2 linked regions of the Saccharomyces cerevisiae S288C genome follow. The gene in region 1 interacts genetically with each later gene. Each region holds a gene or a part of one and is shown on either strand. Other genes may lie near its edges.

Region 1 (5,565 bases):
GCTTCAGCCGCTCTGTGTCGACTTTCTTTTCGCCAGGTAAACTTGCTTGGTATGCAGAAAAAATCGATAGCTCATCTACGTGTAGTAACAAGAACATGTAGGGTGCCAAATTGTACCCATATTTCCTTATGGTGCTTTTCTGAAGACTCCTTACAATAGGTGCGCCAGAAACAAAGTCAGTGAAAGTACGCATCGTAGAGCTGTCGTTCGGCCTGGCACTCGCTATTTCGTGACAACGTTCCAGGACACGGAAACTCAACTCATTATAGTATCCTCTGTTGAGGTAAAAAAGAGAAAGGGTATCGTAATCCTTTCTATTGAATTTCAAAGTATGCACTTGAAACAACGTGTAGACCATCAAGTTGATTTTCTTGGGAATAAGATACTTTGAAGGGATTGGTCCGCCCTGGAAATCTGGTTCGTCTTCAACAAATGTCAGGAACTTTTGTACATTTTTCCCGACCATGACGGAAATGACAATTTTTTCAAAAGACCTTTTCCTATCCATTGCACCAGTTCTGAATTTTACCACTTTGATTAGGCCAGACTTTTCGTCTTCGTAGAATGACCGCACTTCCGTGGGGATCGATTCAAATAAAGTTATTGAGGGACAATGTACCAAGTCGTTTTTGTTATTTAGAGCCGACTCAAACTCGTCAAAGTTTGCTTTTTCAAACTTACGCCTATCGGAAACTTTCATTTTATTTTTGTAAGTTTCGAAATTAACAATAGTATGTTGATTGTTATGCTTTTTGACAAGAAATCCATCAATATAAACAAAAGATTGTCCAGTTTCCGTCTTATCATCATCTAAGAATGTAATAATTAAGCTACTCTATTGAGAAGAAGCAGAATCTGCGCTATGCAGGTGCAAATCTCCAGCAGCAGCAAAGAAAATTCAGTTAATAAGAAATCTCACTAAGATAAGCGACTGTCTGTCCCAACATAGAAAACAGAAGGATGTCTCATTCATCGCTTGATTTCCGGCCTGCAAAAATAAAGTAGTCGGTACGTACTTTCGTTTTCAATTTCCATGGTGCACAGTATCTTAACTATCTGCTTAGTCGAGGAGAACCAGGATTCTGTTCGTTGCTCAGCCGCTTCGTGGATATTCTCTTGGATACTTTAAATATGGACCTACGCTTAGCCTGCGCTTAGCCTACAACTTCTTCCGCTCTCGAAAAGACCAATATAATAGAAAGTTATAAATTACATTTCCTTATTAGGTATACGACCTCGCGCTTCGAAGTAGAGGAGCCCTTTTTGGCGTACCTACATATGGCGCGTCAGACAGACAAACTTCCCCCAAAAATGTATTACCCCGCCGAATAAGAAAACAGACCCATTCACCCACGACGTATCAAGTTACTTCCTTGGTGCAATGTCCCACTATAAAAAAATTCCTTGACGCTAGATCGTTGGACTAAAATCTGCGTCACAATCGCCTAAACAGGAAATATTGCCTATTTTCGTACAAGGTTACTTCCTAGATGCTATATGTCCCTACGGCCTTGTCTAACACCATCCAGCATGCAATACAGTGACATATATATACACACCACACCACACCCACACACACCACACCACACCCACCACACCCACACCACACCCACACCCACACCACACCCACACACCCACACACCCACACCAGAGAGAAGCCTAAGCCTAAGACTAAGACAAGCCAAGCCTGACCAACCTGTCTCTCAAATTACCCTCCATTACCCTACCTCCCCACTCGTTACCCTGACTCATTCAACTATACCACCCCAACCACCATCCATCTCCCTGTGTACTACCACCAACCGACCGTCCACCATAACCGTTACCCTCCAATTACCCATATCCAACTCCACTACCACTTACCCTACCATCTCCCATCTACTACTCACCATACTATTGTTCTACCCACCACTATTGAAACGCTAACAAATGATCGTAAATAATACACACATACTTACTCTACCACTCTAATCCCACCACCACATGCCATACTCACCTTCACTTGTATACTGATATGCCATACGCACACGGATGCTACAGTATATATCATCTCAAACTTACCCTACTCTCACATTCCACTCCACTCCATGGCCCATCTCTCACTAAATCAGTACAAATGCACTCACATCATTATACACGGCACTTGCCTCAGCGGTCTATACCCTGTGCCATTTACCCATAACGCCCATGATTATCCACATTTTAATATCTATATCTCATTCGGCGGCCCCAAATATTGTAAAACTGCTCTTAATACATACGTTATACCGCTTTTACACCGTATACTAACCACTCAATTTATATACACTTATGCCAATATTACAGAAAAATCACCACCAAAATCACCTAAACATAAAAATATTCTATCCTTCAACAATAATACATAAACATATTGACTTGTGGTAGCAACACTATCATGGTATCACTAACGTAAAAGTTCCTTAATATTGCAATTTGCTTGAACGGATGCCATTTCAGGATATTTCTTACTTACACAGACCTTACATTAGAATACTATGCCACCTCACTGTCGTAACACTCTCTATTCACTGAGCTATAATACGGTAGTGTGTTCACACTCATGCGGGTGCTATGATACAATGGCATCCTATTTCCATTCCCATATGCTAACCGCAATATCCTAAAAGGATAACTGATGCATCTTTAATCTTGTATGTGACACTACTCATACGAAGAGACTATATCTGAACAAGACGATACGGTGATAGGTACGTTGTTTTTGTAGAGTTATAACGAAACTTCAAATAACCCTACTATATTATAACTTATCAGCGGCGTATACTTAAACGGATATTACGATATTGTCTCATCTCACTTCATCTTACCACCCTCTATCTTAGTTTTGGTAGAACACTAACCCCTCAGCTTTATTTCTAGTTACAGTTACAAAAAACTATCCCAAACCATAAATCTTAATATTTTAGGTGTCAAAAAATGAGGATCTCCAAATGAGAGTTTGGTACCATGACTTGTAACTCGCACTGCCCTGATCTGCAGTCTTGTTCTTAGAAGTGACGCATATTCTATACGGCCCGACGCGACGCGCCAAAAAATGAAAAAAGAAGCAGCGACACATTTTTATGGAAAGACAAAGTGCTGCGAAGTCATACGTTTCCAATTTCATTATTGTTTATTGGAAATACTCTGTTAGCTTTATTACCGTCCACGCTTTTTCTACAATAGTGTAAAAGTTTCTTTCTTATGTTCATCGTATTCATAAAATGCTTCACGAACACTGTCATTGATCAAATAGGTTTATAATATTAATATACATTTATATAATCTACGGTATTTATATCATCAAAAAAAAGTAGTTTTTTATTTATTTTATTTTGTTCGTTCATTTTCAATGTCTATGGAAACCCGTTCGTAAAATTGGCGTTTGTCTCTAGTTTGCGATAGTGTAGATACCGACCTTGGATAGAGCACTGGAGATGGCTGGCTTTAATCTGCTGGAGTACCATGGAACACCGGTGATCATTCTGGTCACTTGGTCTGGGGCAATACCAGTCAACATGGTGGTGAAGTCACCGTAGTTGAAAACGGCTTCAGCAACTTCAACTGGGTAGGTTTCCGTTGGGTGGGCGGCTTGGAACATGTAGTATTGGGCCAAGTGAGCTCTGATATCAGAGACGTAGACACCCAATTCAACCAAGTTGACTCTTTCGTCAGATTGAGCTAGAGTGGTGGTTGCGGAAGCAGTAGCAGCGATGGCAGCGACACCAGCGGCGATTGAAGTTAATTTGACCATTGTATTTGTTTTGTTTTTTAGTGCTGATATAAGCCCTACTAGGAAGAAAAAAATGACTGCATATTCACAAAGACAGGCGGTCAAGTCTGCTCTATTTATACAAATTCCTTCACCAGCTGGTGCTGCCCAAACGAGCCACTGACTGACACTCTTTTCTCACCTCAAGATCCTACATATTTCATCTAACACACCTTATCCACCGTAACTATAGAAATGCACCTGTCCTTGAACGATTCGTGAATTCGTCACAAACTTCGTATATGAAGATATGTTTTGCGGCGCCAATGTGTATTCGTATGCGTGCAATGTAAGATCGACGTTATAGGGGCGCCATGTGCCTTCGAAGAACCCTTTTACGTGCCTGTCATATTTCTTTTTCAAGGACCCTCGTTCGGAAGCTATTGTCTTAGCCTATATTAGTATGCTCTAAACGATTGCCGCGGGATAATGTTACAGTTTCTTTTCCCAAGCTGAAGTGAAATAGCAATGATGTACTGAGAGTCGTACCTACCCGTGGAAGCTTACGATGCCGTTCACTATCACTAAGGCATTCGAAATTAGATACCACAATCAAGAATGAATGCGATATATAAACGAGGTAGCTACAGTTAGCTGCACATGTTTCTCGAATAGAGTTAATTGATGTTAGGGTGAATTGAATCATGTGCCAAGGTTTTGTGTAATGAAACATCTTCGATACCCGGGTACCATTTTTCTTGTTAAAAAAAAAAAAGAAAGAAAAGAAAAGAGTACAGAGGCCAGTGGATGGCGCTAATATTTTTTATTTTACGTTTTGAATCTTCTGTTGAATAATTTCATCTATGTGCTTGGTTCTTGCAACTGTTAAACACTTATACCTAGTAAATATTCTGTGGCAGGGGTTGGTAGTGCCTCCTGAATTTATGGGCGCAGTTTAATGCTCAATAACTAGGCAACGCATTTTTTCTGAATCTAAAATGCTATTTAAGTATCGCTCAAAAGAAAACTACAAAATTAGCCCTGTTAAAGAAAAATTCCTCATTCTTGTACATATCCTGCCCAAACAAGCTTCTGTTCTTTCTGTTGGCACTCTCAACGCATTAATCAGCACCACTGCCTTGCTTACCTGTGTTCCATTCTCATATGGAATATCACTAGACTGGAGAATTTCCTCTCGATAGAAAAAAACTGGTTCCACAAGGCAAGGAAGCCTGAGGGTCCGGTGGACCAGTGGAAGTAAGATAGTAGTTAAACAAAATAACATGCAATTAAATATTTTCCTTTAATTTTTAAGTCAGTGTGACCCAATAAGAATAGCTTTAATTTTTTACTTCTTTTGGTACCTAATATTTCTACTTAAAATACTTCCGATGGAGACGCATAACTTGTACTTTTGTCAAGGAAAAGATATAATTAGCACTTGAGCAAGCAATACTATCATTTTTTTTTTTGAGACATTACTTCAAGTTGACTCTTTTGAAACAGATCTTTTCTCCAACTTACTCACGAACATTGCCTAAAAGACAACTAATTTCTCGTCCAAAGCTGATAAAAGATGAATATGGATTCAGCATAAGCGGATTAAAGTAGCAATATCTGCTTAAGTTGACTTCGCTATTACTCTCACGGGTGTAACACTATTCTGTTTCACGAATGGCGCTTACGATTTTTCAAAATTACCTTGGAATGTGTCACGTTGGGCATTTTTAATTATTGTGCTGCATAAAGGTGCCTATTTGGCAAGTTTCTGTGCGAAAAACACTAGTATTGAATGTTTTCGTGATGCTTTATTGACACGTGAGAAGGGAAACTTT
Region 2 (3,945 bases), on another chromosome or scaffold:
TTGTCGAAAAAAAGGTCCTGATTCCTTAATGTTTTATAATTTTTATCTGATAAATGGATCTTGTTTCCTGTAATAATGGGTTACCAAAAGTTTTTTATAAGAATATTTAGCTTTACCAGACTAGTATACATCAACAGACAATCACACTCCCTTAAGATGTTTTTCAACAGCAAATTAAAAGGAGACCCTGATTCTTAATAATACAGATATACGGTGTATAATGATGTTGCAGACTCGTGATCACAGTTTACTGAAATTAAGAAAAAATGACGAACTAACGAAATCCAGACGTGAGTCAGAATAATTATAACAATAAAAAAAAAAAAAAATTTCTATTGTTTTATACCGGATCAATGCTGCTTTTGAGTGATATTTTTCGAACAATGTACGACTTTATTATGCGGGTAACTTTGAAATAGACAATGGAAAAACCGTTATTTGCAGAAGGGGATGGGAAGATACGAAGAGAAATATCTAGCAGTCTTCGACGCCACCTTTTTTCCTTCTTCATGTGCTTTGAGACAGTTCATATAATTTTGTTATAGAGATACAAATATACATCATTTCGTAACAAGGGAGGAATAGAAAGAGGGGATACCAAGAAACCATACTGTTACATATTGTGTCTTTGGCCCGATCTCTTTCCATTTCTTTCTCTAATATATTATATACACTCACTGCACCCCAATAACGCTCAACTCTAAAGTCCAAACTCTACGAATATGTAATCGGACGGGTACAATGATTTTATGTAGTTCTGCTTCAGGATCAACGTTTGTTGGCAAGATCAATTCAATGATTTTCTTTGATTCATCTTTCCAAGAGCCGAAGACTTCCACTTCTAGCTCTATGTCTTCTTCACCCCACCAACATTTACGAGCAGGTTTTCTCCAAAATAATAGTAGCTTAGCGTTGATATTAGGTTTTGGCACTAGATCATACAATTTGGGCAACTCCGGAGGTTTACTTCTGGTCTGCGAACTATGTCTCGAGGAAGAGTGCGAACGAACGTTATCTGCTAGTTTCGACAGCCTTGATTTTCTCTTATCACGTGCTGTAGCAGGTGCTGTACTTCCGCTTGTTAAATTCCTTGCTGTAGAAATGGTACTGTTAGATTTACTTGCAGATAAAGAGTTAATCGATATGTTAGATTGCATTGGGGTGATGAAGTTGTCTTGAGAAGGTTTGTGCTCTGCCTCCCACTTAGCCTTAGCCTCGTTAAATTTTTGCCTAAATCCTTCAGTTGTCTCGTTAGCCAATCGGCAAAGAGACAGTGAACTTATAACCGTTTTGCCAGTTTCTTGAGTTCTGTTACCCCAACAAGTTTCCTTGGTGAATCCGGAGGAGCACAACATATCCATTAAATGTTGTTCAGCAGGTCCCAATTTTTTCGAAGTAGATTTAGTATTTGAAGAAGAATTGGACCCCTTTTCAATTTTCTGTTGTTGCTGTTGTTGCTTTAGTCTATTCGAAGAATACAAACCTTGGAAAATCGATGTTTTTGAAGTTAAATAACTGCCAGCAGCCATTTTCACTTGAGCCATAAAATGTCGCAATAAATCCTCATTATTTTCTTCATTAGTGGAATCAAACTGAAATTCCTCCTGAGGTACACAATAATAATCCAAGTCTTCTCTCAAAACAATAATAGCGGGCTTTTGATGTAAAATATCCTGCTCATTGTTGCTCGAAATTGAATTATTGCTACTCAGTCCAAAAAATCCCTTTGCATTCGAAACAAAGCTACTTGATGGTCTGTCAAAAAATTTCTCCACAGGATGATTATACAAATCATCATGCGCTTTTGTATATATCTCCATGATGTACTCAAAACAATCAGGAGGGAAATTAACAATGTAGACCTCATCGTCTCTGGTCAAATTAGTAATGACCTGACCACAACGGTCCAAAAAAACACCTGAGGGAAATAAACACAGTAATAGGGATTCAGGTAGAGACATCAACTGGTCCCTCGTAATGAAATAATGGTTTTCTTGAATATTCAAATGAATCAATGAATCACCATAATCCTCCTCGTTACCTTCGTACTGTGAGTTCTGTTGCTGTTGCTGTTCTTGTAGAATCGGAGCGGACTCTGCATTATCTGGAGAAACTTGCGTGATTATATCGTCCATTGTTTATAATAAGTGTAAGCTCAGACAACCTTTATCTTTATCAATTAATGGGGAGGCGGGAAAATTAATAGCCTAAGTGTGAAGGAGTTGTCTTCTTGCGCTTTCTGTTCTTTTCCGAATAAAAAAACAATTAAATTATCACTGGAGAAAATGCTTCTCAATTAAAAAAATCACTAAATAACGTTGTTTCTCTTTTCCCTTATTTTTAATGGGATAAACGTTCTAACAAAACTTTTTTTGTCTTCTAAATTTGGATCCTTATCTTCTTATGACCTTTGGGGGGAGAAAAGAAAAAAATGACTCTAAACTGACGCCGAGTTAGAGACTCTCTCACACTCTATCACTATGCCTATGCTGTAAACTTAAAACAACGATAGACCGTTTTTTGTCTTACTTTCCTCCTTAGTAATTATTACTCTAGAGCATAAGAAATTGGCCATTGAACATGGCCCGTTCTGACTAAAATCTTCTCTTCCTGATAAAATTTGCTTTTTTTATTTTGAATTGCCCTCCTTCGGGTCGTTTGGAAAAAACACCCAAACACCTCTTACATACAAGATTTGCAACGTTTTGATAAGTAAGTACATTATGCAGAGGTTATGTTTTTTCTTGACCGTCAAAACACTGTTCATGCATGCTAGCGCTGTCGATATAAAATCGGGATTTTCATACACCCATCAGGTTGGTTGAATTCTTTCTTTAACTCTTACTCATCTTTCTTTATTTTCCGGATATAGCACGTAACCTATCATTTTTTTTTCTTAAGGTTGCCTTTGCCGTTCTTCGCACTATAAAAAAGCACGCTTATGAAAATTTTTAATTACTTGACTTTTTAAATCTGTCATTGAAATTTAGATGATATGCAAAACACATTACGAAAATGTCAATTGGAGTTTTAAAGAACTCATGTTGCTGTTACAATACGTAGAATGGTCAGAAGTGTGCTGATGCATATACTTTGAAGTGTCAAAGTGTCTGAACGGGTGCCGTAAAAGACCTATTCTTTTTTATGATGAATTTATGTTTTCAATCTTATCTACATTATCTGAATTAATAGCTAACAATAGTTATAATGGAAGATATACGACTATCAACAATTCTGAAAATTTTTTCTTACTTCCTTCAAGAAGGTAGTGAGTTCTTCACAAGCGCGTAAAATAAGATGCGTCCAAATATTGGCACGTATACACATGTACGTAGATATCAGCTTTACATCTCGTCGTCACTATTGATTAAGAATTCATCCTCATCCGGATTTTTCTTATTTCTAGAAACAGCGTTTACTTTAGTTGGTGTAGTATCCAGGGGTTCCGGTGGTAGCGGCTGCCATTTCTTCTTCGTTTCTGTATCTGGAGTATCAATGTAGGTTGTCTCTGCCACTACTTTTCCAGTCGACTCACCAGATTTTGTTCTCGTTGGTAACTGAGGTGGCACATCTTCATCATCTTCAAATCCATCTTCGTTGTGTAGTGTGATTCCGTGGCTTTCTAAAGAGTCATCACCGACTTGAACGCCAAACGAATTGAATCTTCTTCTCTCAGGTTGCTGGGGTCTTGAATTTTTCCCGCCTTGTGACAAATCCACAATCTCTGGCTCCCATTCTTGCTGATCTTGGTGACCATGTTGGTTGTCGTTTTGCTCATTACCTGACGCAAAGTTTCTCCGGTAAGCATCACTTATCCAGTTACTAACTTTGTTTGCTGTGTCCTGTAATGACCGACCGGCTCTGTCCGTAAGCTCTGGCAGGTCCTTTTCTACAAATTGCGACCACGAATCTTCTTCCTCACTGTCTTCGTGATGTTGCTCCCTT

Evidence for each region. A genetic interaction does not mean that the proteins touch.
Region 2: mutations in PAU10 (region 1) and WHI2 together harm fitness more than expected from each alone (negative genetic interaction), as found in Saccharomyces cerevisiae (2 studies listed by BioGRID).

Annotation. Positions count from the first base shown.
Region 1 is NC_001136.10:1,521,456-1,527,020, reverse strand, and holds PAU10 (seripauperin PAU10), read right to left. Parts: upstream 3,773-5,565; coding exon 3,410-3,772; downstream 1-3,409. Other genes in the region: YRF1-1 (Y' element ATP-dependent helicase protein 1 copy 1), read right to left, coding at 1-700.
Region 2 is NC_001147.6:409,060-413,004, reverse strand, and holds WHI2 (Whi2p), read right to left. Parts: upstream 2,136-3,945; coding exon 675-2,135; downstream 1-674. Other genes in the region: ubiquitin-binding protein CUE5, read right to left, coding at 3,345-3,945. UniProt on the Saccharomyces cerevisiae protein: Plays a role in the coordination of growth and proliferation. Required for entry into G0 phase under conditions of carbon limitation.